3 linked regions of the Rhinolophus ferrumequinum genome follow. The protein of the gene in region 2 interacts with the protein of the main gene of each other region in a pairwise test. Links are inferred from orthologs where the notes say so. Each region holds a gene or a part of one and is shown on either strand. Other genes may lie near its edges.

Region 1 (7,477 bases), on a different chromosome or scaffold from region 2:
TGCAGCACACTCCAGATCTTGAAGACTTGTAAGAAAAAAGAGAATATCTCCAATACATGTTTATACTGATTATACGCTGAAAGGATACTACCTTTCTACTTTAGGTTAAATCAAAACTATTATTGCCATACATTTTGCCTGTTTCTTTTTTCTTTTAAATGTGCCTGTTAACAAAATTTAAAATTACATATACAGCTCGTGCGTCAGACAGTGCTGCTCTGAGAACTGGAAAGACCAGAGTGAATAAATAGCTGCCTGGTGGAGCTCCTGCTCTAGTGGGGGAGACGGAGACTGAACAGCCAGACAAACCAGTGTCAGTGCTATGAAGAGATGTAAAGCGGGAAAGAGGAGAGAGTGACAGGGCAGCTGCGCTACAGAGAGATGAGAGCTGAATGAAGACGGGTGAGCCCGTGGGTCACCGGGAAAGGGTGCTCCAGGCAGGGGACACAACAGGCACAGGCTTCTGCTCTGGCCTCCTCAGAGGAAAGGGGACAAGGGGCCAGACAGGTAGGCACACAGCAGGTTCCTTCCCTCCTACCCTGCACCAAGGCGGAGCCTCAGCCACCCCAAGCCACTTCTTCCAAGTCACAGCCTGGCGCCTCTTCACCCACGGCTCCCGCATCCTCCCACGGGGCAAACGGGGGCCCAGCCACCTACTTTTTGTAGCAGGGCTGCCTTCCAGGCTCTCTGGCAGGTCCATGGGACACCCTCCTCGCTCTGCAGCTGCTGCTGATGCTAACAGCCTCCCTCCATCACTGGGAAGGACGGAAAACGGACCAGCTGCCTGGAGAGCTCCTGGAGGAGAGCAGGGGAATGACCTCCTCAGACCAGCCACCCCAAGTTGGGGACCCACCTGTGCCCCAGGCTGCTCTGGGCTCTCAGAACCTGTTTGCCCACCCCTGCCTCCATCACAGCAGCTCTGGCTCAGACCTACTTAATGGATTGGCGGTGGGGGCTGGCAAAGGGGGGCTGGAGGAGTGAGTGGCACAGATCAAAGGGGGCCTAATGAGTGGGGGTCACTGCCTCCTCTCCACAGCTTGTCAAGTCCCCAGCCCTGTCCCTCCACCCCAATGACTCTACCCCGTCCCCTCCTCTCCTTTCCTAGGGCCCTGGCTCAGGCCTCGCCCTCTTCCCCGGGCCCTCATGCCAGCCTGCTTTCTGGCCTCCCAGCCTCCAGTCTCCCACTTTTGTCCATCCCCACCGGGCCCCAGAGCTGACCTGCCCCTCCCCTGTTCAATACTCTTCCATGGCTCCCTAGCATCCCAGGGACAAAGCCTCGACCCTGGACCTGGCGAAGGCCCGGCATGGCCTGGCCCCGCCTGCCTCTCTACCCCAAACCACACTTGCTGCTCCAGCAACTCTGAACTGTGCGCTGCTCCCCAAGCCAGGCTCCCTGTTCCCACCTCTGGAACACCCTACTTCCCAGTCCTTCCTGTCTCAGCTCGCAAGTCCCCTCCTCTGGGAAATGTTTCTGAACATTTGTCTGTGGGGTCCCTCACTGCCCGGGGCTACTGTCAGCCCGTATTTGGAACTGTCGGCCTCTGACGCGAGTTTGAGCCCATCGCTCCCCTGTTCGCAGCCCTCCCATGGCTCCCTAGTGCCCTCAGCACTAAGGCCTAGCTCCTCTGGCTAGTGTGGCACAGAATAGTCCCTGCAACTCCTTGCTTTTTATTTTTTAAATCACTTTTCTCTCCACTGGCTGACCTCCAGGCCCCTCGCCCTCATCCCGACCGTGGGCATTTAGCATCTTCCCATGGTCCTCCCAGGCCCAGAACATACCACACACACCGTCTCCACTTGTGGCCCCTGCTTTGGCCCCCAGTTCCCTGGGGAGGCTTCCGGAGTCCTCGGAGCAATTAGGGATTCCCTCCTCTGTGCCCCAACCGTGTCCTGTCCTGCCTCCATTATAACCAGGTTGACCATAAGACTTCTTGCCCCAACTCCAGGATACTTTCAAGAGTGAAAGGGGTGCGATTTAATAATTACACTGGACAATAGTGCCCATCACACTTGAGTACGCTGGGGCAAACGGTCAACACAGGGCGGCCGGGGACCTGCCCGTCCTCATCCCACCTGCTCAGCCCTCCTGTCCTCACCACCTACTCCCCACACCCTGCTCCCCGGGCGCCAGATGGGTCCACTGCTGTGGAGGGCACACTTCCTGGCGACGTTTAGAACATCCTAGAAAAAACGGTCTTTGAAACGAGACCCTTCCAGGGTTTGGATACTGCTGGGGCGCGCAGAAGGGGGTGGATGGCCCTGGGGCCTGAGTGGAGAAGGGTCCCTTTGAGGGTGCTGAGAGGCACTGGGAGCTTCTGACAGGGTGTGGGGGACACACTCCTGGTGAGGGACTAAGATGCTCTGGTCAACCTCAGGGGCCTCTGAGCGGGAGATTCTAGCAGGAGGACCCAGGCAGGAATTCTGGGGCTTTTGAAGGGGGATCTGGAACTTAGGGAGTCTCTGACTGGATTTCTGGGTCTCTGACTGGTTTTCAAGAGGATCTCCCACTGGATCTCTGAGTTTCTGGATTTCTGGGGAATCTGACGAGCTTTCTGGGGGATGTATGAGTGGATTTCAGGTCTCGGATATTTGAGAGGGGGAATCTAACAATTTTTGTGGGTTCCACAAGATTTCTGGACTTGGGGGGTTTGATAGGATTTGGGGAGGGAGCGTAACGGGATTTTGGGGAGGTCTAGGGCAGGGAGAAGACTGAGGGAGAAGACTGACAGAATTTCTAGAAGATTCTGACAAAATTTCGAGGATCTTCTATAAGATCTCCTGGTAGCTTCCTTTCAGTATTTCTGAGGGGATTTAGTCAGGATTTCAGGACTTTTAAGGAGACCCCTGATACTGGGGACCCTGCCCTATAATTTGGGGGCTTTGCCAGGATTTCGGGAGGGGTTTTGACAGAGCTAATCTGGGGAACCTCGCTACAGTCAGAGCGCACCTGAGGCCGAGGGCCACGGACGACGAACGGCAGTTGCCCAGGAAAAGGTGCCAGCGCGCTATTCCCACCGGAAAAGCAAAGGGAGGGGGCGGGACCGAGAGCGCGCTTGACGTCTAAACCCCTGCGCGTCTGGGCCCCTCCCTCAGCGCAGGCGCACATCGGAGGAAGGGGCGCGCTAGTTGGGCCGGTACCTGCAACTGCGAAGTTGCGCATGCGTAGGACTTCCCCAGCGCGCGCCCAGACCCGTGGAGCGGGCGCATGCGTGTTGGCCAAGCAGGTGAAGGCTGGCAGGATTAAGGGAGGAGGCGGCTACGTCCCCTGTGCTGGGGTCTTCTCTGCGGCCCCAAGATTCGGTGAAATAGGCCCAAGCAAGGGAGAATTGGCTTGAGAGACCCCTTGTTCATCCCCACTTCTTATCAGCTACTAAGCCGTGCTCGTGATGCCATCTGTTCCGTGACATGACAGTCTGCCCCTCACCATCACAATGATGTCTTGTCCTGTCCTGCCTCACCACTCCCGCGCCCTTTTGTAGCTCCAGTTAAGATGTATTAATAAGTCCCCGAAGGATTCTTCCCCAAACTGTTTCATTTACTCCTTTTAGGAGAGAGTGCGGAGAAAATATTCTCGCTTTTCTGGCTGGAGAGAGGAAGAGAATTACATCCAAAATTGAAGATCCTCCCAAGGAAGAGCATTTGGGACAAACGCGGTCCCACCCACTCAACCTCTCTGCTAGCCCACACTATCCACTTTTTAGTGGTCCTCATGGAACGTCTCAAAACGTGACATATTCTATATTTGTCTACTGTCACCCCCACTGGAATGTGACCTGTGTGCAGTAGGAGACTGTTTTGGGGCTAGAACATGCCTGGCTTGGTGTGGACGCTAAACAAAAGAAAAAGTTGAAGGGACTGAATCCATGCCTCTTAAGTACTGGGCAGTGTAGCGTGATGACAAGGTGGTGGGCCTGGAGTCAGATATTCTTAGGTTTGAATTTTGGCTCCACCACTTTCTAGCTGTGACCTTGGTACAATGGTTTACCCTCTCTAAGCCTGTTTTCCTTCCAGAAATGAAGATAATTGCTTCTTAGGTCACCTTGAGGACTTAAGGTGGTAATCCTTGTTATTAATAATTGATAGTTATTATTTTGGCTATTAATGGTGGCTTGTTACAAGGCCCGGGAAAAATCCTGTTTGGCAGGTGACGTGGTGAGTGGTTAAAAGAGATATTGAATCGGACAAACCTAGTGCCATTGCTGTGTGACTTTGGCAAGCGACTTCACATTTCTAAATATCAGCTTCTTCTCTAAAATGGGGACAAAAAATATCCACCTCATGATGTCTTACGAGAGTTCAATAAGAATGTTTGCCAAGTGTTTTCTTAGCACAGGCTGGCATGTGGTGGACCCCATTAATTTTATTAACATAATTTATTAGTATAATGGTATTATGTCAGTTTATTCCTTCCATATTTCTTGTTTCTTCCTTTTTTGAGGTCTGGGTAATTTTGTAATCCCTGAAAATTTTTTTTAAGAAGTTTATAGTGTAATGGTAACATACATAAAGTGCTAAATCTTAAGTTATAGCTCAATTAAACTTTTATAGCTGTCTTGAGTGCTTAGATCAGTGATATTTTTAGATTATTGATATTTAATCTTTGTAATATATGCATTTAAGGCCATAATTTGCTGAGACATTCTTGAGCTATATTCCACAAGTTTATGCCACCTTTCCATTATTATTCAGTTCAAAATATTTACTAATTTGACCTGCGCATTATTTTAGTGGTATATTGCTTCATTTCCAAACATTTTATGACTGTCTAGTTATCTTTTTATTGTCGAAACTTGTGATGGCCTGGTCGGCTGAGGTTTGGAGACATATCCTGAAAGGAGACAGTGCAGCTAGCTGTAAGAAGAAACTTTATTTCCATATGATCCTTGGGGTAGGGTCTAGTGGGGGTATATGCAGGTGTTCCCCTGTTCCCACCCCTATAGCTGCTGGGAGGGCCTGAGAATGTATAGGAAGTGGGTGTTTCGGGCAGGCAACTTGGAGTGGGAGGAACCTTGGGTCCCCTCTTCAAGGACGTCTTCTCGGGTCCCTTCACGGAGCCCGTCCCGGATGGCCTGCAGGCGGTGTCGCTTCTCGCTGAGCCAGTGGCCACCCTCCTGGGCACCTTGGTGGGACCTTCGTTGTGGCAGCTTCATGATCCAGAAGGCCACTCGGGAATGGGGCTCCGGGTGGAAGCTGTCCATGGCCTTTGGGACAGGCACCAGGGCTTCCTTGTCCTCTGTCTTGGGTACCTGGGAAAGAGGGACAAGGAGACCCTCTCAAACTCTAAATGACAACCTCAGGATGCTCAGACCCCACTGGCATATTCCATTCACTTTGTCACCTACAGGCCATTTTGGGAGTTAAAAACTCAGTTTGCAGTTTACAAAGCACTTGGATTAATAAGCGCTTTTGGATTCAAAAATACTCTGAGGTTTATGGACTACTTTGGGATTGAAAAAAATGCTTTGGAGGTTTCAAAAGCACTTTGGGGTTTAAAATGCCGGTTGGGATTACAAAGCACTTCAGGATTAAACATACTCTGAGGTTTGGAAAGCAGTTTGAAATGTACAAAGCACTTCGGGATTAAAAGCTCTTGGCTTTACTAAAGAAGCATAACCACAATTGCTACATGTGCTCCTTGATTGAATCCTGGTCCAAAATCAAATCAGCCTTACAGAGAGCTTTGGGGCCAGTAGGGATATTTGAATATGGTCTGTTTGGTCCTTGCTGCTCAAAGTGTGGGCTGTGGACCAGTGTCATCTGAGAGCTTGTTATATATGTAAATTATGGGCTGCAGCCCACTCAGACCTACTGAATCAGAGTCTGCATTTTAATAAGTTGAGGTCTGAGAAGTCCTGTAGGAGATTCTTATAGGTTGAACTGTGCCTCTCCCCATTCATATGTTGAATTTCTAACCCCCAGGACCTCAAACTGTGATTTTATCGTATTTCCCTAAAAATAAGACCTAGCCAGACCATCAACTCTAATGCGTCTTTTGGAGCAAAAATTATAGTAAGACCCAGTCTTATTTTACTATAAGACCGGGTCTTAATATAATATAATAAATATAATACCGGGTCCTATATTAATTTTTGCTCCAAAAGACACATTAGAGCTGATGGCCCAGCTAGGTCTTATTTTCAGGGAAACAGGGTATTTGGAAATAGTGTCATTACAGATTTAATTAGTTAGGATGAGGTCATCAGGGTGGCTTCTAATCTAGTATGGCTGGTGTCCTTATGCACAGGGGAAATTTGGACACAGAAGCGCAGACAGGGAGAACGTCATGAAGATGAAGCAGAGATGGAGGCGATGCATCTACACACAAAGGGTCCCCAAGGACTGTGAGCAAAACACTACACGGTAGGAGAAGGACCCGCCCTCACAGCTCTCACAAGGAGCTGACTTTGATCTTGGACACGTAGCTTCTAGAACCATGAGACAAAAAGTTCCTGTTATTTAAGCCACCCAGTCTGTGTGGTACTTTGTGATAGCAGCCCTCCCAAACAAATACAGAGATAATAGCTTGACATCGATATTAAACTTCTTGGGTGTAAAAATGGTACTGTGGTCATGTGGGAGAAGGCATTCTTCTTAGGAGATATCTGCTGAAGGATTTAGGGGTGAAGTGTCAGGTTGTCAATAGCTTATTGTCATATGGTTCAAAAATACAAAAGTAAAAATAAAGTAAGTGTGGTAAAATGCTAACAAGTGGTGAAGCGAGGCCAGTGGTTCTCAACCAAAGTCTGGAGACATTTTTGGTTGTAACAACTGGCCAGGGTGGGGGTGGTACTTCCCTCTAATGGGGAGAAGCAGGGATGCTGCTAAACATTTGACAGTGCAAAGGATGGCCCCATGTACAAATAAAACAAATATTATCCAGCCCACAAATGACAATGGTGCCAAGGTTGAGAAACCCTGCTCCGTGAAAAAGAGAATACAGATATGCTTATAGTACATTTTTCCCCCAACTTTTCTGTAGATTTGAAATTTAAAAAATAAAAAACGGGGTGTGTATGTGTGTGTGTGTGTGTGTGTGTGTGTGTGTGTGAACCATATGGGTTTGTCAAGCACTTGGCAGTTCTTAAAAATTTTTAGGATAAAAAAGCAAGCACTTTGGGGTTAGAGTCACTGAAAGGTTTACGAAGGTGAGAGACACAAAGCATTTGGGGTTCATAAAGCACTTTGGAATTAAAAATCACATTTTGAAGTTTACAAGGGGGAGATTTACCACTTTGGGATAGATTAAAAAAATATTTAAAGGTTTGCAGAGTATTTTGAGATAAAAACACTTTGAGGTTTGTGAGGGTGAAGTGCACCAAGCACTTGGAATTAAAAGCACTTCTTGGTTTACAAAACCCTCTGGGGTTTACTAAGCGAGTGGAGGGATGTACTCTAAGGTTGTATACCTCATTACTGAGAGCTGGTTAGTCCCTTTTGACAGACGACAAAACTGAGGCCCAGAGAGAGGAAGTCCCAC
Region 2 (8,025 bases):
GTCCTTGCTTTTCCTCTGTCATATTTCTCATCCTTGGCTTTGGGTGTGGGGGGAGGGCTTTGCTCTTCTCTCCAGTGCTTAAGGAGCATAATGTAACTTAGATGGCCCCCTTAAGGAAGAACCCCCACCAACGGGGAAACTAGGGGCTTCTACCCAAGCTCTTCCCTTTAACTACACCAGCAACTGGTGCTGGGTGCCAGGGAACTAAATCGCTGGGCCCTGGTAACTTTCCCTACCATTACCCCAAATGGTGGTGGGATCTTGTGGAGTGTCTTATACCAGGGCTGCCCAACTCCTCCATGTTTCCTTCCCACTCAACGTTTGCGTATCCAGAGGACTCCAGTAACAGGGAATAGGACCTTTAAGAAATGAAATGACCAAGAAATGGGGGGTATGAGGGAAGAACCTTGTCGCTGGGTCTTTTGCCACCCTTAGCCCAAAACAAACAATACTTCAATATCCGATGATATACATTCTTTTCATATTTCAACTTTATTTCAAACATGAGGTGTTTTATCCAGAAGGGAGAGCAGGTACATAAGGCAGCTGAAGTGAGGCACAGTACTAGCGGGTCTGGGGCCCAGTGAACAGGGCTGCACTATGAAGGGGGTGAGGAAGCTCTGGGAGGGCCTGAGTTCTCCAGGTCTGCTATTCAATGGGTGGATTATTCAGTGTTTTCAGCAACTTCATTTTTCTTTAGCAATATCACCAAAGAAGTGCCACGGCTGGGGACACACAAAAAACTACCAGTCCCTTTTGTTTTTCCTTATGCCTAGATGGGGAAGGGAATGGAAACTAGTAGCAAAAATGAAACATTTCTGATGTTATCCTTTGCCATGAAAAATGGGGGGATCTAACTGTGCAAAGCCCTATTTTGTACCCTGGAAATGGGATGTGGTCAGGAGGCCTAGGTTAGCCCCATCTCAAGCTGCACTGAAAAATCATCTGACCCTGTTGGGAGTCACTTCTCATCTTTGGATCTGTGTCCTTACTCGTGGAGGATCCAGTGATCTCTAAAGACAAGCCTTCCCAGGTCTGATTCTATGACATGTGGATTACAAGAATCCAGAGGACCTCCAGAGAAACACAGGAGTTAGTAGCAAGGAATGTGGGAGTTAGATTGGAAAGTTGAGGGGTTAAGGGTTATGCTGAAGAGAAATGATGAACTACATTCATAACGAGAAACAAAGGAAATGAAGGAAGGCTATCAGACCTCTGAGGTCTGGATGAGAGGAAGGGCAACAGTGCTCCTGCTGTGTTGCTTCAAGGACCCAAGCCCGGCCACGGTCATGGTTTCTCATGGCACTTCCGACTCCACAGCTCACGTTATACCCTAAATTGCTCCTGTTCATCGAGTCATCAGCCTTTAGAGGCAAGTCCCTACCACAATGCCTAACACAACACATCCCTGCAGATTCCCCCAAATTCCTATTGTTTACCTTATCAGATTAGGCTGTCAGCTCACCCCAAGGCCCTGGAGCAGCACTATATGAGAACCAGAAGACTTATGTGTTGGGTCTGTAAAGCTGAGAACGGGGGGCATGAGTGAGCCACAGTATTTCTTACAGAGAAAGAGCTCAGGGAACAATGGATTATCCTTGGTTCCCTGCTTCCAACCAGCTTGCATTTCTCCACTCAGTAATGCCAGGACTCTCAGAGACGGCCAGAGCACAGAGCATCCAGTCCTAGTTGGGGAGCTTTCTAGGAGAAAGTTTAGGCAATTGGCCTGTTCAAGGCTAGTGGTGGGTATGGGAAGGGGGTGGCACACCAATAGGTTGGAGGGTTGACTAAGGCCAGGGGAGAATCCCATTGTATGGAAAGGCTATAGTTCAAATGGGTTCCAAGTTCTCTAGCAGGCAGGCGAGTTAGTCCCTTGCTGATTCTTCAGATCTGGGACACTGGCATAGGAGACAGCAAGCTCCAAAAGGAGCAGATGAAGTTTGGGACCCTCAGTGCATTGCCTTCTCCAAGCCACTTGGGGAGACTGGGAGGATGGGAAGACAGAGCACTATTATAAACTGTGTTATTTTCCTAATAAGATGATATATGGCAAGGTTTTTAATGGAAAAAATATGTAACATCATGTTTATGCACTGGAGCTCTGGAGATTTTTTGGGTTCACAATCCTAGCTCTGCCTGTACTAGCTATATGATCTTGAACAAACTACTGAGTTTTTCTGAGCTGTTCCCTCTTCTCTAAAACAGGGATGATATTACTCAACTCCTGGGGTTATTTTGAAGATTATAATGCAAGCAAGATACCAGATTTAGTGGGTAAGTAAATGTGAGCTATTATGATTGTTAATACAACATAACAGTAATGCACACACATTAAGCAAGATTACTACACCCTGAGCCTTGACCCAGTCTCCCTCTCCATCATCCTCCCTTGGGCTCTTCACTGATAACTAAGTGCATTGCTTGGTGGCTTCCAATACAGTTTCATTCTTCACTCTGCTGGAACTTTGACCCGAAGGTGATCCATAAGATGTATGAAATTGTTTTCACCAGGTAAGAATGATGTTTAAATGGCCCTTTGTTTGAGGAATGACTCAGAGTTCCTCTTTTTCAGGCATCTTTCTTCAAAGGATTAAGGCTTTAGGTAGGATGGGCATGGTAACAAACCCCATACTCTATTCTGAATGCTTGTACAGGTACACCTGATGCACTCTCTCACTTACTGATAAGGAAGAAGGGGATCCAGACATTTTTCTTTGAGAAATCAGTAACAGATATAAAGGGGTGGGGAGCTGGTTACCTGGGAGCTCCTTGTTCATTTGCATCAGGAACTGCTTCTTTTCCCTCTTCTCCCTTCTAGAAGACTGTTAAGGAGGAGCCTGAAGGAGGAAGGTGGATCTACCATGGTCTTGGAGAAAAGCAAGTAGGTTCTCCACCCCTTCTGGAGGGACAAGGAATAGCACAGATCAACAAAAATGAGAAGGAAGCAATTGGAAATAGAGAAAATGAAGGTAAGTACTCTATTATGCTAAAAGAAAAATGGAAGTGAAAAGAGAGGGACAAGAGAAAAGCAGAGCTTAGGAATAGGGTAAGAGGGGGGGGGAAAACCCCAACAACTAGCAGAGGTTAACCAGGAGAGACATATGGCATGAATGTGTAGGGGTAAGAGTCCAGCTTTCCCATTTCACTTGCTCAGGATATGGAGCACACTGCCATCTTCTGGTGCCATTTAATTTTCAAGTTGTTTTGATTCTTGAAGTGCTTTCTATTTCTTATACACGTAATCCCATATCCTCACAAGTTCCCCAACATTATTTCCTTTCATCTTTGGGACTCCCAATCATCATTTCCCCCAAGAGACCTTCCAAAAGCTGTCTCAGAGCATCCAGGCTGGAAGTCTGTGAGGGCCAGAGCAAAAAGCAAGAGGCAGAGGATGAGCTGTGGTTTGAAAGAAGCCTTAATACCCAGAAGCTGCAGGCTGGTTTGGGGAGGCTTCCTGGCCTTGGAACATTTGTGTCAAAAACTGGAGGACCCATCCTCAGCCCCAACCAAACACTCGGGGTGCTGTGCATTCTGAACTGTAGCACTCCAACTGTAGGGTGGAGAACGTGGCTTCTAATCTACACTCTGCTACTCACAGATCATAAAATGTCAAAGCAAGAAAGGGCCAAAAGAGATCACCTAAACCAAATCCAATTTACCCAGGAGGAAACGGGGGCCCAGGAAGGTGAAGGAACTTGCCCAAAATTATACAGCTAGTCAGTGACTTCCTAGTCTTGAGCAGAATCAGAATAGTGATTCTTGTGATTCACAGTCCGTTGATAAATACAGTCCATAAAGTGCTTAGAGGTCATTAGAAGGCACCCAGAACAATAAGGCTGGCATTTTTCTGGAAGCCCCTGAGTGTAGCAACCCATTAGCCGCCGCGTTATTTGGCTACAAGCACAAGTCTGGAGTTGGTTTTGTCTTCATTTACACACCCCCAGGGCTGCAAAGAGGCTGGAGGAGGGAGCTCTGACTACTATCTCCCATCACTCCCCATCCAGTTCTCCAATACCCAAGCCAGGGACTGTCAGGGGTGACAAGGGAATCCTGTCATAATGCCAGGGATTGGGGAGCAATGGCCAGTTTCTGGGATTTCAGCAAGGCAACTATAGCTGAGTTAAAGCTAGGATGGACAGGGTTGGGGGACCTGAGATGGCAAAGGTAGATAAGGGAAAGAGCCAGCAATCTAAATGACTTCAACTGAGGGGGCTGCTACTTCACGCAACACACCAGCTCAGCCCCAGAGGGCTGCCCTAACCTTCCACTGCCTAGGCCCGCCGAACTTTCTCCCAGTGCCTGCTCACGGAAGAGAACGTCACCATACTCCTTAGTTTTCGCTTTTTTCGAATCCTCCTAGCGCCCTTTCGGGTCTCCTTTCTCCGGTACCTTGGGTTCCGTCTACTCACATCTAATCGGTGTTTTCCACCCCTATCTCCCCGACCTTCGCTGATTCCACCCACTCCCCAAACCCCTTTGATGTCTCCCGCACTTGACTCTCTCGGACAGCAGCCCGCCAAATCTTTGGGCACCCCTAGCCCCCAGGTGCCTTTGGTTTTTTCACCGTCGGCCGCAGGCGTCTCAGATAAAGTGAATCCAGCCCTGAGGCTCCGGGGTTCCAATACTGCCCGGGTGCTCGGGCCCACGTAGAGCATAGTCACGGCCGCCGTTGTTGTCCCAGAACTCGTGGCCTGTCACGCGGTAGCGCAAGGCGAAAAGCAGGGCGCCCCCAACGGGCGGCGCGGGCAGGCGAAAGGCGAAGCGGTCCGCGCGTGGAGGGGGCGGAGCCGGGCCGGCGTAGGCCGCGGGCGCCTCGCGTTGGCTCCGCCACCCGTCGGCGCTCCAGCGCACGCTCACGCGCTTCTCGTAGGCCAGGTCCAGCACGCGCGCGCTCCCGGCCACGCCCAGCGGGCCCGCCTCGGCGCGTTCCAGGCAGATACGCTGCGCCTGCAAGCGGGCGGCGAAGCCGGGCTCGCTGGCCGGCTCCAGGGCGGCGCGCGCCTCCTGGGGACGAAAGAGGGAGAGGGAGCACCGAGCCCTGGCGAAGGGAGGGCAGAGAGGGGCGGGGTCATAGCGAGTAATTGGACCAATCCGACGCCGACCCCGAAGTCCGGGCCCTCAGAGTGCGGCCAAGCTGCGAGAGTGGCCGATAGCCCCTCGCCAATGGGAGCCCCAAAAGGGACGTGCAAGAGCAATCCCGGGGGTGGAGGTGGATATGGGTATTCCTTGATTAATCCACTCCCCCATGCCCGCCGCGGTCGAAATGGGGAGGTCCAGGGAGAGGGCGTGCGTGCACCTGCCGCCTACCTGGAGGCCGCGGGCGCGGGGCTGGCACGGCGCGAAGTGGCGGAGGGCGTCCCTCTGCAGCTGGATCTGCACGTGGCGGGGCACCCGGGGCAGCTCTCCAGGGCGGAAGCGGCGCACGGCGGCCAGCTCCAGCCCCAACGCGTCGGCGAAACGCACTCTTTTACGGGTATCGGGGCTGCGGCTGCGAGGCGCCCGGGCACCGCCGCCTCCGGCGGGTGCGGAGCGAGCCCGGCGGCCCCGACTCGGAATGTGAGCGCGCGATCTGGCCCCGAGGCGCGTCCCGCCCTCGCCTGGCTCCTCCTCCGGCTCCTCCTCGAGGCTGGGCCGCAGGCTGCGGTAGTAGGCGCGCTCAGTCAGCGCGGCGATGAAACTCAGGTTGCGGGGGATGTCGGTGCGGGGGGGCCGCTCTCGAGACATGGCATCCCCCGCCCCGGCAGGGCCCGCCCGCAGCGCCGCCTCTGTGACCTCGCTCCGAATGGCCCACTCGCCTGCGTCCACGCAGAAGCCGCCGGCCCGCTTCAACCGCCCCTCGCAGTTGCGTACTCTCCTTGCTTTCACTTCCAGGATCCTCCACCTCCCGTAGTTCTGCTTTGCCTTGGTGACTACCTTTCCTTCCCTCTTGCCGTCAGCTTCCAGGGTCTTAGACGATCACCTCCTGTCTCCTGCTAGCTGTCTGCTCTGAGCGTGCGCTCAGCAGCACACATCCTCGGGTCTCGCGGCCGTCGCGGCCCAGGCCCCCGCCCACAGCCCTCTGACAGGTGGCTCCCATCTGTCTGCGTTGCTGCACTAGGGGGCGGGGACTCCACCCTTTCCGTCCTGGGTGAGACCCTCTGCCCTTTTAAATTTTTTTTAACGACCTCAACCTTTTTGGCATGGGATGAGTTAATGAAGGATGTAAAGAGTAACATTTCCTTTTCTTGCAGGGGAAGGTTCAAAGCGCTCAGTGTGTGACTTTCTCTGCAGGGCTCACTGTTGTCTAAACTCTAGTTTACAGGTTTTGGTGAGGGGGGGCGTTGCAAAGAAGGGAAGGTCATGAAAACTAGGCAGAATCCCAAATAAAAACAGACGCGGCCCACAAGGGTGGGTGGCCCATTGGAAAAAGTTCTGAACTAAAAGTCGTGGAAAGACAAAGCTTCTGGTCTCACTTCTGGTGCTAGTTAGCGGTGTAATCTTGAGCAAGGCACAACTTCTCTGTAACCTCAGTTTTCTCATCTGTAAAAAAATGGGTTCGAATTCTGATCTCTAACCTGACTAAGCCGTTTGAGGACAGAGCATGTGTCTGATAGTTCATAACAGTAGTAGGCCTTTAAATTATCGAATGAATGAACACACCACACTCTTGGAGCTGGGACTATAGGGTTCTAGTTCCAGTGGGAGGTTCCAAGAAGGGCACAGGGCCGGTGTTTTTCTTCATTTTTTCCTACTTTAGTGAAAAGAGCATGTGAAGTTTTGTTTATTTTTTTTTTCTACTTCCCACTGATCTTATATAGCACTTATAGTTGTAATAGTTTTACAAACATTAACTCATACCGTGCAGCCATCATAGGAGCAGGGAGTCTTATTATGGCTATTTTTACAGATGAGAAAATTGATGGAGAGAGGGACTAAGACTCTTGCCCAAGGTCACATAAGATAATAATTAGGGAGCTGGGATTAGAACCTCAGCAGTCCACCTCTGGAGTCCACTCTCTTATTTACTTGTTTATGTAAGATTAAAACAGTTAATGGTAATAGTTAACATTTTCAGAGTATTGAAGTGGGGAGTCTTAGAATAGAAATGGAATCTCTAAATTTAAAACAGCAGGAGAGTTTAACTGTAAATAGTGACTAAGTTGGAAATAAACAGGGAGACGTATACTACCTTATTATTGTAGAATTCATTCCTGTTTGCATTTTAACTTTAGTATTAACTATAACAATACTGTCAAGCCAGGACTGATTTTTAAAGTGATTCAATTTTATTTTTTTATTTAATAGGTATGTGTATAACCCATGGAATATTCTTTTTATATCTTAGGGTATAAAATAATGTTACACTACTTTGTTTTACAGTCAAGCAGTTTAAAACTGTCTTCCTTGCTCTGGTAAAATATGTCATTAACGAAATAGATAAGGTTCAAGGTTAGCCTATGTGGCGTGAAGTTTTCTGGTAAAAACTCTGTTGCCTTGTCTACTGTTGAGCTGCCATTCCTTGGCTCTGTGGTGTTGGTTTGAGAAGATCCTTGAGGTACACAGCTTTGGACCTGATGTAATTTGTGTTGGTCCAGCACCTTGTTCTCCTGGCAGCTCAGACTGACATTGAACCTTTATTCCAAATCAGTCTTTGTTTCTTAAACAGCCACTGCAGTTATCTTCAAACATCTGACTGGGCCTGCTTAATAACTGCCAGAGGCATTGACTGATTCATTCAGTCAACATTTACTGAAGTTCTGTTAGGACTTGAGGACATAAAAGTGAATAGACTTCAGTTCCTGCTCTCACAGAGCTTATAAATAAATGGCGGGCAGACAGAAATATATTTGGACCCTGAGACTTAAAAATATTTTTATTTCAATTAAATGTCTTAGAAGAAATATTGCAAATGAAGAACTAGACTAGGTTATTCTCAAAAGAAGGCAGCAACCTTGCTGGTAGAAGCAGGAATGATCAGCCTAAGAGCAAAGAAGAAATGAGGATGGTTGAAAGGATACAGTCATAAAAGAGTAGAATAGGCTGTGC
Region 3 (7,830 bases), about 8.9 Mb from region 2:
CTGCATTTCCCTTTACATCCAGATTTCTGAATTCCCAAACGTTTTATCTTCAGTACCTGCTTTTTCTATTTTCTTTGACTGGAAATCAAGTCTCTGTACTTGTTTATCCAATTAGCAGAAGCCAATCTGTCTGTCCTGCTATCTTCTCTCTCTCTCTCTCTCTCTCTCTCTCTCTCTCTCTCTCTCTCTCTCTCTCTCTCTCTCTCTCTCTCACACACACACACACACACACACACACACACACACACACCTCTGCAACTCAGAAGAGAGGGACTATTGCTTTGCAGGCAGATGGACTGATGCACAAAGAGATAAATTCCTTCTGTTAGAACAAGTCCAGTGTGGGAAGGACACCAAGCTTTCCAGGTTCTGGTCTTTCTTACATTCAGGATCTCTCCTGGAGGGAGTTAAGAGGCAAGGCAATCAAGCACTATGGGCTCTCCCTCCAAGACCCCCACCTTACCCATAAATCAGTTTCCAATCTAACCCCTCCCTGGGGGTTGAGTTACAAACCTCAGTAACCCCAGGGCGGCCTGCCTGGTAATTCCTATTATTCAGCTGTCAGCTGGTTTTTTAAAAACCTCCCTTCCCAGTGATCTAGTTACTGGAGTTTTAGAGCTCATTCCTTGTCTCAGAGAGAAATCCTATAGCCAGGTGAAACAATGGAGAGGGCTCCTGCCTGCTGTCTACAGGGAGCTGGGTTTTCTCTTCTGTTCAAAGTGCTCCCCTTAACTCTTTGTGTCCCTCCCAGATTGTGGGGGAAGGTCTGCCTCCCTCTCAGGCCTGCAGGCTGATGCCGATGCCGTTCAGAGCAACTTTGCCTTTCTCTGTGGACCCTCCTTCTAGAGCCAGCATCAGTCAGCAGAGGAAAAAACAAATTGGGGCAAGGGGTGGGAAGAGAAAGAGGGAAAGGAAATTCTCCACAAGAAAGGCTGCTTGGGCTGCAATGTGTGTTTGCCCTGAGCCCAGTCAAAAGCTCAGGGTTCGTCCGTTCCTAGGGTGCTGTTGTTAGACAGGGGGCTCAGAGCCCAGCTTGCCAGTCCCGCAGGTCCTGACACTGCTGAGTCTGCCCTATGCTAGAAGGGAAGAAAGGGCACAGGGGGAGGGGCCTGCTTTGACAGTGGTGAGAGGTGGGGAGTGAGGATCCTGACCTCCCTGACCCCTTTATCCCTGACAGTCTTTACTGGTCCCTCTGGCTCAGAAGGCTGGGCCCCTGCTGCTTGACCTTAGAGGCTGAGCGCACAGGAGGCCAAGCCACCAGGTGTCCTTTAGAACCAGCCTGAGGGAACAGCCTGGGAAAGCCTGGGAGAGAAGTCTTAGAAGAAATGTCCCTAGAGGGTGTGCCCCTCCCTCTATCTTGCAAACTGCCCAGACCCACTAAGATGATTCCCCTTTACTCCCCAGCCCCATTTCCCTGCAATGGTGATTTTTAACCTTTTATAGGATCACAGACCCCTTTAGGAAACTGTTGTAAGCTACAGAGCCACCCCCCTCCAAAAATGCGTGAACCCACAAACACAATTTAGCCAGTTTCAGGGGTTGACAGACTCTAAAGCTGAGGAGACCCTGGTGAGTCTGGAGAATACATGGATCCCAGGTACTGTATTTCCCCGAAAATAAGACCTAGCTGGACCATCAGTTCTAATGTGACTTTTAGAGCAAAAATTAATATAAGAACCGGTATTACATTATATTATTATATTATACCTGGTATTATATTATATTATATTATATTACAATATTATATTATATTATATTATATTATATTATATTATATTATACGACCCAGTCTTATATTATAGTAAAATAAGACCTGGTCTTATATTACTTTTTGCTCCAAAAGATGCATTGGAGCTGATGGTCCGGCTACTTCTTATTTTCAGGGAAATGCGGTAAAAACCCTGCTGTACCAGCTTCCTTGCGCTGTGGACCCCAATTCCACCTTACAGGGCTGTGATGAAGCAGACAGTGCTTTAGCAGCTCCGGTGGGTCAGGAGAATTAGGGTGACCCCTGCACCCCCCTCCCTAGGGCCGATGGGGTGGGCGGGGAAGGGCAGAGGACAAATTCAGAGCTACTTTGTCTTTCAGTGCCACTTTTGACCCAAAGTAATTCCCATGTTCATCGCTGGCCAGCGTGAGACACTGGCCCAGGAGGAAAGCTAATAAGGATGGAAAGAAGGAGGGGAGGGAGAACTCTGTGTGGTGAACATGGCGAGGGCTCCCCAGAGCCCTGCACAGAGGCTGGGGGTTTTGTCTCCTCATCTGCCCACATGTGGCATGAGTGCTCGGTCACTCTGACCAGTTCTGACACTCCCTCTTGGCCAAGCCTCCTGGTAATGTACCTCCTTTTGGCTCCCATACCTTTTTCTGGATATCTGTCAACTCTTAGGGGGTAGGGTGGGCGGGGACTGGGATGCTAGCCAACTTTGACTCTCCCTTCTTTCCCTTTTCCCTCTTCTCCCTCCTTTGGGGATAGTGTTTTCTTACTCTAGCAACCACAGCTCTCAAAATGCCTGCTTCGCTCTCTTTTAGCTGCCCTTTGAGGGAGCTAGGGGAAAGAATGGGTAGGGAAAAGATACAAGGTGACTTCAGGCTCCTCTGGGCTAAGGGTCCCAACGCTACTGAAATCTGTCTGAGTTTCTCACCCAGAGATAGCGGGTTGGTGGTCAGAGGACAGCCAGTCCCCACCACCCCTGGAGTCTGGCCCCCATCATTGATCACTTCGTTTGTTGCAGGAACTGGCTCCCTCTCACTGATTTCTGGCCTCTTCATTTGTCTTTCCTAAAATTCAGTCTTGGTTAAGTCACTCATAAAATCTTTCCTGGCTCCCCTGTGCCTCCAGAATAAAGTGCATTTCCTCAGCCTGGCATTGTAGAGATACCTCTGTACTCTGACCTGAATCTACCTGTCCTTGCTCACCCTTCTTAACTCCCAGTGTGTACTTAGTAATCCTGTCCTCTCACCTGCTCCCGGGCAGATTCTCCAGTTCAGGACATTATTCTGCTGCCCCTAGCCTGGGCTGTTTCACCTGGTTTTTCTTATTGAAAAATTTCTCCTTCAAGGGTCCTTCAAGACCCTACTCAAAAGCCATCTCCCTGAAGCCTTCCCTAGTCTTTGCCTTCTGAATTTTTCTGCATCTCCCATTAGTCATTATCCCAGAAATTAATGCATTTCATACTGCTTTCCATTATTTTCAAGTCTACCTCTCCAAGTAGATTGTCAGCTTCCTGAGAGCAGGTACCAAGTTTTTGGCACCTGTATCTGGCACAATGTAGGTGCTCAATAAATGTTTGGGCCTAGCGCAGAGATTCCCTTACTGATGGTATATGATTTGCGGGACCCATTGCTCTCCTGGCAGCCCCAGCACTCTCTCTGGAGGCTGCCATAAACAGGATGTGTGTCAACTGCCCAAGCAGCGCCTGCATTCTTGATCTCTTCTCTCCTCAAACAGATGCCTATTTTGTGTTCACGCCCAGTCAAGAAGAGGACATGAGGGTTCCTTTGGATGAGTTTGATCTGAATGTCACTGAGTAACAGCACCGGACATACGTGTTCTCATGCTTCCTACAGATCTGGGGCTGGAGTTTTCTCCAGACCCGCTCCGCAAGCGGGAGGGTGCTTTGCTACCTTGCCGGGATCCGCAGGGACCCGCACTTGCAACCACTGGACATTGCCAGTCGCGTTTAAAAGCTCCCGCTCTCCTCCTCCCCTCCCTTTAGGGACGCGCAGTATTTATTCAGCCTATTCCCGAGAAAGAGAAGACAAGTCACTTTGGCGCCTCCTTGTTCGCTCCTAATGGAGAGGGCTGTGCTTCCCTAGCCTGCATTAGGAACCGAGTCTGCGAGGGCAACGGCGCACCAATTGCGTTTCTGGCGGGGGTCAGAATTTTGCTCGGCCCCTTGCAATGTTTCCAAGGGGAGGTTCGTAGATTCGTGACTGTCCCTGGCAGTCGCCCAGCCCGGGACTTGGGGCTCCACTCATCATTGGCCAGCGGTAGGCGTGACGCGCCGGAGGCGGGGCCTCATCAGCTGTTTGCGGGATGCCCCGAGCGGGCGTATTTTGGAAACAATACCGCGCGGTGCGGAGTGGCCTCCTCCCGGGCGCGCCCGGCCGCTGCCGCTGCGTCCCCTGCTCGCTCCTCCCGCCTCCCACTTCTCGCCGCAGCCGGGTGAGCGCCCGGGCGGCCGGGAGCCGGGCGGAGTTGGATCGCACCTCCTCGGGGAAGTGGGGAGAGGAGTCGCGCTGCGCGTGGGGGCCCGGGAAGGGTTGGGCTGCAGGCGTGTGGGGTGACCATGAAGTACTGGGGCGCTGGGCTGCGGGAACGGGGTGAAGAACCCACATCTAGGTGCGCTGCTCCACCAGGCAACTTAGGGGTAGTAGCATTTGAGAGTCCGAGGAGTTGGGTCCAGGTGGGCAGGGGAACCTGCAGTGCACTGCTGAGCCGACCTAGGCGCCCGAGATCGGCCGGGCCTCTGGATCTTACTTTGGGGTAGGGCAGGGAGTCGTGGGGCATCCTGCCTCCCTGCGGAGTTTGAAGGCTCCTCTCCTTAACAGCTGGGCTTTTTCCCTCCTTCCCAATTGAGTCTGGGCGCCAAGCCCCCGAGTGCTCGTCACGCTGGACCCTGGCGCGGAGCCCTGGCATCACGACTCGGAGGCCGAGACTCTCTCCTGGAGTCACCCAGGTCGGCGGTGTGTTGTGTGAGTGCGTGAGTGTGTGTGTGTGTGTGTGTGTGTGTGTGTGTGTGAGAGAGAGAGAGAGAGAGAGAGAGAGAGAGAGAGAGAGAGAGAGAGAGACCAGATTTTAGCCCTTGTCGAAGTTCAGAGTATCTGGCTACTGCCTTCTCCGAGGAGGAGTCTAAGTTCAGCATCCCTGTTAAGAGTCCTTAGGGGCTGGGATGGCTCCGGCGAGCTTTAGTCCCCCTTGCTAGCAATATAGCCTACCCTGGCCGTGCTCTCAGCAAGTGTTCCCCTCCTACCAGTTTGGACATCACCCCTTTTGCTCAGGTCAGTTTACACTTGACCTTGCCCAGCACCCCACTGGAAGCGCCCACCTGCAGTTCCTGTGGAGAGTGGGACGGGTCCCCGTCCGCCCCCCCCACCCCCTCCCGCCGTGGCAGAGCCACACCCTCTGGCTGCACCTCCCCCACCGTCCAGTCCAGGCTTGGGGTTGAACTTTGGGGCTTTGCTGGGAGGGGGATGGGGAGGTGACGGGCTTCAAAGGAAGAACCAAGACAATGACTCCTGCTTGTGATTGGCTTTGGAGGGTCCCTTCTTACGTTGGGATCGCCAGCTTGCTGAGAGGAGGTTGAAGGGCTGGAGGGGAGCCCCTGCCAGTGACTGGCAGGACAGCCTTTCCTTTAAGCGGGAAACTTTGTTTCCTGGTGCTGATAAGCTGGAGTTCTCCCACCCCACGCCTCCTTTGGGAAACACTATTGAAAGAACACCAGGTGCCTGTTTTGCCATCCAAGTAGGCATCTCCTCACTCTCCAGGGATGAGGGCAGAGATAGGACCATAGATAGTTCCAGGAATAGATGGGATGGAGGGGGTTGAAACAAGCACCTCAGAGACAGCTTGCATTTAGGAAAGCCAGGATTTCTGAATTTAACCGGGATTTCTTTAAGTACTTTACCAACCCACAGACCCTTTGGCTTGCTCTTCAAAGGCAAGAGACTGGGAGACAGAATTCCCAGGGAATCTAATAGAATCTGGCAGTGACAAACATTGTCTCTCTGTATCCTTAACCTATTCAGGTGGTTGTTGCTTCTGGCTGCCCCAGGGGCCTTGAGGGGTTCCTAGTGTATGTGTGTAGGGGTCTGGGTTCGGATCTCAAGATGCTGGATGGCTCCAAGCTCAGACTTCCAAGAGCCAACAAGTGGAGCAAGAACTTCTTTATTACCAAGAAACTCATCAACAACCTGTATAGCCAGTGAGTGAGGTCACGGAGAAAGGGCTGAATTTCACTTCCTTCTGTGAGGCAGGTTGTACCAATCCCAGGTTCAGCACTGGCAGGAATGGTAGGCTGGCTATGGTGAAGGATTTAAAGTCACGGAGACTAGTGAATAGACTGAGCTGGGGGAGGCTGGTCACTTTGCTGAATGCTGGACCTACCCTCTTGGCCAAGCTGTGGTGGGTAGACAGCTCTATCTGAGAGGGCAGCTGCAATGACTAATTTGGGTCTTTCTCCCTTCTCTCTCCCAGGACACCCTTACCACACCAAGGAGTCTGTTTGTTGTGTTGAGCAAGCAGGGGGTGGAGACTAGAGTAGATGGGCAGGTGGGCGGGACTTAGCAGGTTTGGAGGGAACCTGGCTGCCCTATGATTGCTGGCTGGCTTTTGTTTTTACTGCTGAGCCTGGAGCTCAGCTCAGACTTGGTGGTTACTCCCCAGGGCAGTGGTGGGGGGGGGGGGGGAGAGGGAGGGAGAGAAAGGAGAGAGAGAGAGAAAGAGAGAGAGAGAGTTAGTTAGTTGTGAGTATTTTGTGTACAGCCAGTCACAGCACCCTTCTGCCCTCCCACAGCCACTCAGAGAGGCTAGCCTTGTTAACATTTCCCCAGGTACCCTGTATGCATGAAGCAAACTTCATGACTGACCAGCTGGGTCAGAAGAAGAGGCCGAGGGGAGGGTAGCTGTGAGTGGGCCCAGGAAAGTGGTGCTGCAAGTCCCTGACTGAACAGTGAGGCAGTCCAGATTTGGGGATGGATGTCACCCTTGGCTGTGCTTTACCACCAGGGTCATCTGTCACTAGTACCTGCCCCCACTTCCCCAGATAAGAAGGGAGACCAGGGAAGAAGGTGGGGGAGGCCCAGGGTTGGCCTGGGTGGGGACAGCATCCTGGATGCCTTATTATGCCCTAACAGGGGAGATGGAGCCGCCTCAGTGTGTGGAAGAGCTGGAGGATGATGTGTTTCAGCCAGAGGATGGGGATCTGGGGACCCAGCCTGGGAGCTTGCCCTCTGCTGACCTGTTTGCTCAGAGCCAGCTGGACTGCCCCCTCAGCCGTCTGCAGCTCTTCCCTCTCACCCACTGCTGTGGCCCTGGGCTGCGACCCACCAGCCAGGAAGACAAGGCCACCCAGACGCTCAGTCCAGCCTCCCCAAGCCAGGGTGTCATGCTGCCTTGTGGGGTGACTGAGGAACCCCAGCGACTCTTTTATGGTGAGTGCTCTTAGCCTCAAGACTCCTCCCATAGAGACTGGGGGAAAAGAGGGGACTTTCCCTCCCCAAACCTGCCCTTTGTTATTTCCTTCCCCAAATTGAGCAGCAGAGGCTATTGATTGCCCAGCTCTCACCTCCTACCTTTTAGCTTGTCATTGCTCCTTACCTGTGCTCCTCAGGCCCCAAGAAGGGCAAATTGCCCTGCCATTATTTCCTTTCTTTTGTCCCTTTCTGGAGGGATCATTGGTCCCTGGTGTCTCCTCTGGGGTTGGAGAAAGGGCACCTGGATCCTGTAGCCCATTGAGTGGCCCAGACTTGTGCCCTGGTGGTGATGCACCTTCCGTACGGTGACTAATGTTGTCCTGGAGAAGGTTGGATCTGTGACTCGCTGTTGACACTGAAGGGAAAAACCCAGCCCCTTCTGGGAGGGAAGGTTCCTAAAGGCAGAAGGTGACCCCCAATTGTCACTTGGGACTTTCTGTACTTGGAAGGGGAACTGGAGAAAGAGGTTGGGACTTCCTGGGCTCAATGCCAGCACAGGGGCTGATTCCAAGGCTCAATAGGACAAGACCCTTTCATTAGTCGGCTTAAGTGGTTTGTTTTATGAGCAATATGCCGTCCTCTGGCAAAAGGGCAGGGTTAGACACTCAGTCTGTTTTCTTCTTTTAGCATAAT

The links.
Region 1: the proteins of BCL2L2 (region 2) and KASH5 interact in binary tests that used the Homo sapiens proteins (3 or more experiments, as listed by UniProt). The two-hybrid records come from large-scale screens. The link is inferred for Rhinolophus ferrumequinum from reciprocal best matches to the Homo sapiens genes BCL2L2 and KASH5.
Region 3: the proteins of BCL2L2 (region 2) and BMF interact in binary tests that used the Homo sapiens proteins (3 or more experiments, as listed by UniProt). The two-hybrid records come from large-scale screens. The link is inferred for Rhinolophus ferrumequinum from reciprocal best matches to the Homo sapiens genes BCL2L2 and BMF.

The regions. Positions count from the first base shown.
Region 1 is NC_046298.1:44,556,709-44,564,185, reverse strand, and holds the start of KASH5 (protein KASH5), read right to left. Parts: upstream 3,029-7,477; 5' UTR 2,948-3,028; intron 796-2,947; 5' UTR 701-795; coding exon 658-700; intron 1-657. Other genes in the region: DKKL1 (dickkopf-like protein 1), read right to left, coding at 4,935-5,246. UniProt on the Homo sapiens protein: As a component of the LINC (LInker of Nucleoskeleton and Cytoskeleton) complex, involved in the connection between the nuclear lamina and the cytoskeleton.
Region 2 is NC_046289.1:73,759,080-73,767,104, forward strand, and holds the start of BCL2L2 (bcl-2-like protein 2), read left to right. Parts: upstream 1-5,004; 5' UTR 5,005-5,209; intron 5,210-5,307; coding exon of another isoform or gene 5,308-5,724; exon of another isoform or gene 5,725-7,267; intron 7,268-8,025. Other genes in the region: PPP1R3E (protein phosphatase 1 regulatory subunit 3E), read right to left, coding at 4,582-5,004, 5,308-5,724. UniProt on the Homo sapiens protein: Promotes cell survival. Blocks dexamethasone-induced apoptosis. Mediates survival of postmitotic Sertoli cells by suppressing death-promoting activity of BAX.
Region 3 is NC_046289.1:64,880,992-64,888,821, forward strand, and holds the start of BMF (bcl-2-modifying factor), read left to right. Parts: upstream 1-4,763; 5' UTR 4,764-5,800; coding exon 5,801-5,927; intron 5,928-6,597; exon of another isoform or gene 6,598-6,836; coding exon of another isoform or gene 6,837-6,858; coding exon 6,859-7,155; intron 7,156-7,830. UniProt on the Homo sapiens protein: May play a role in apoptosis. Isoform 1 seems to be the main initiator.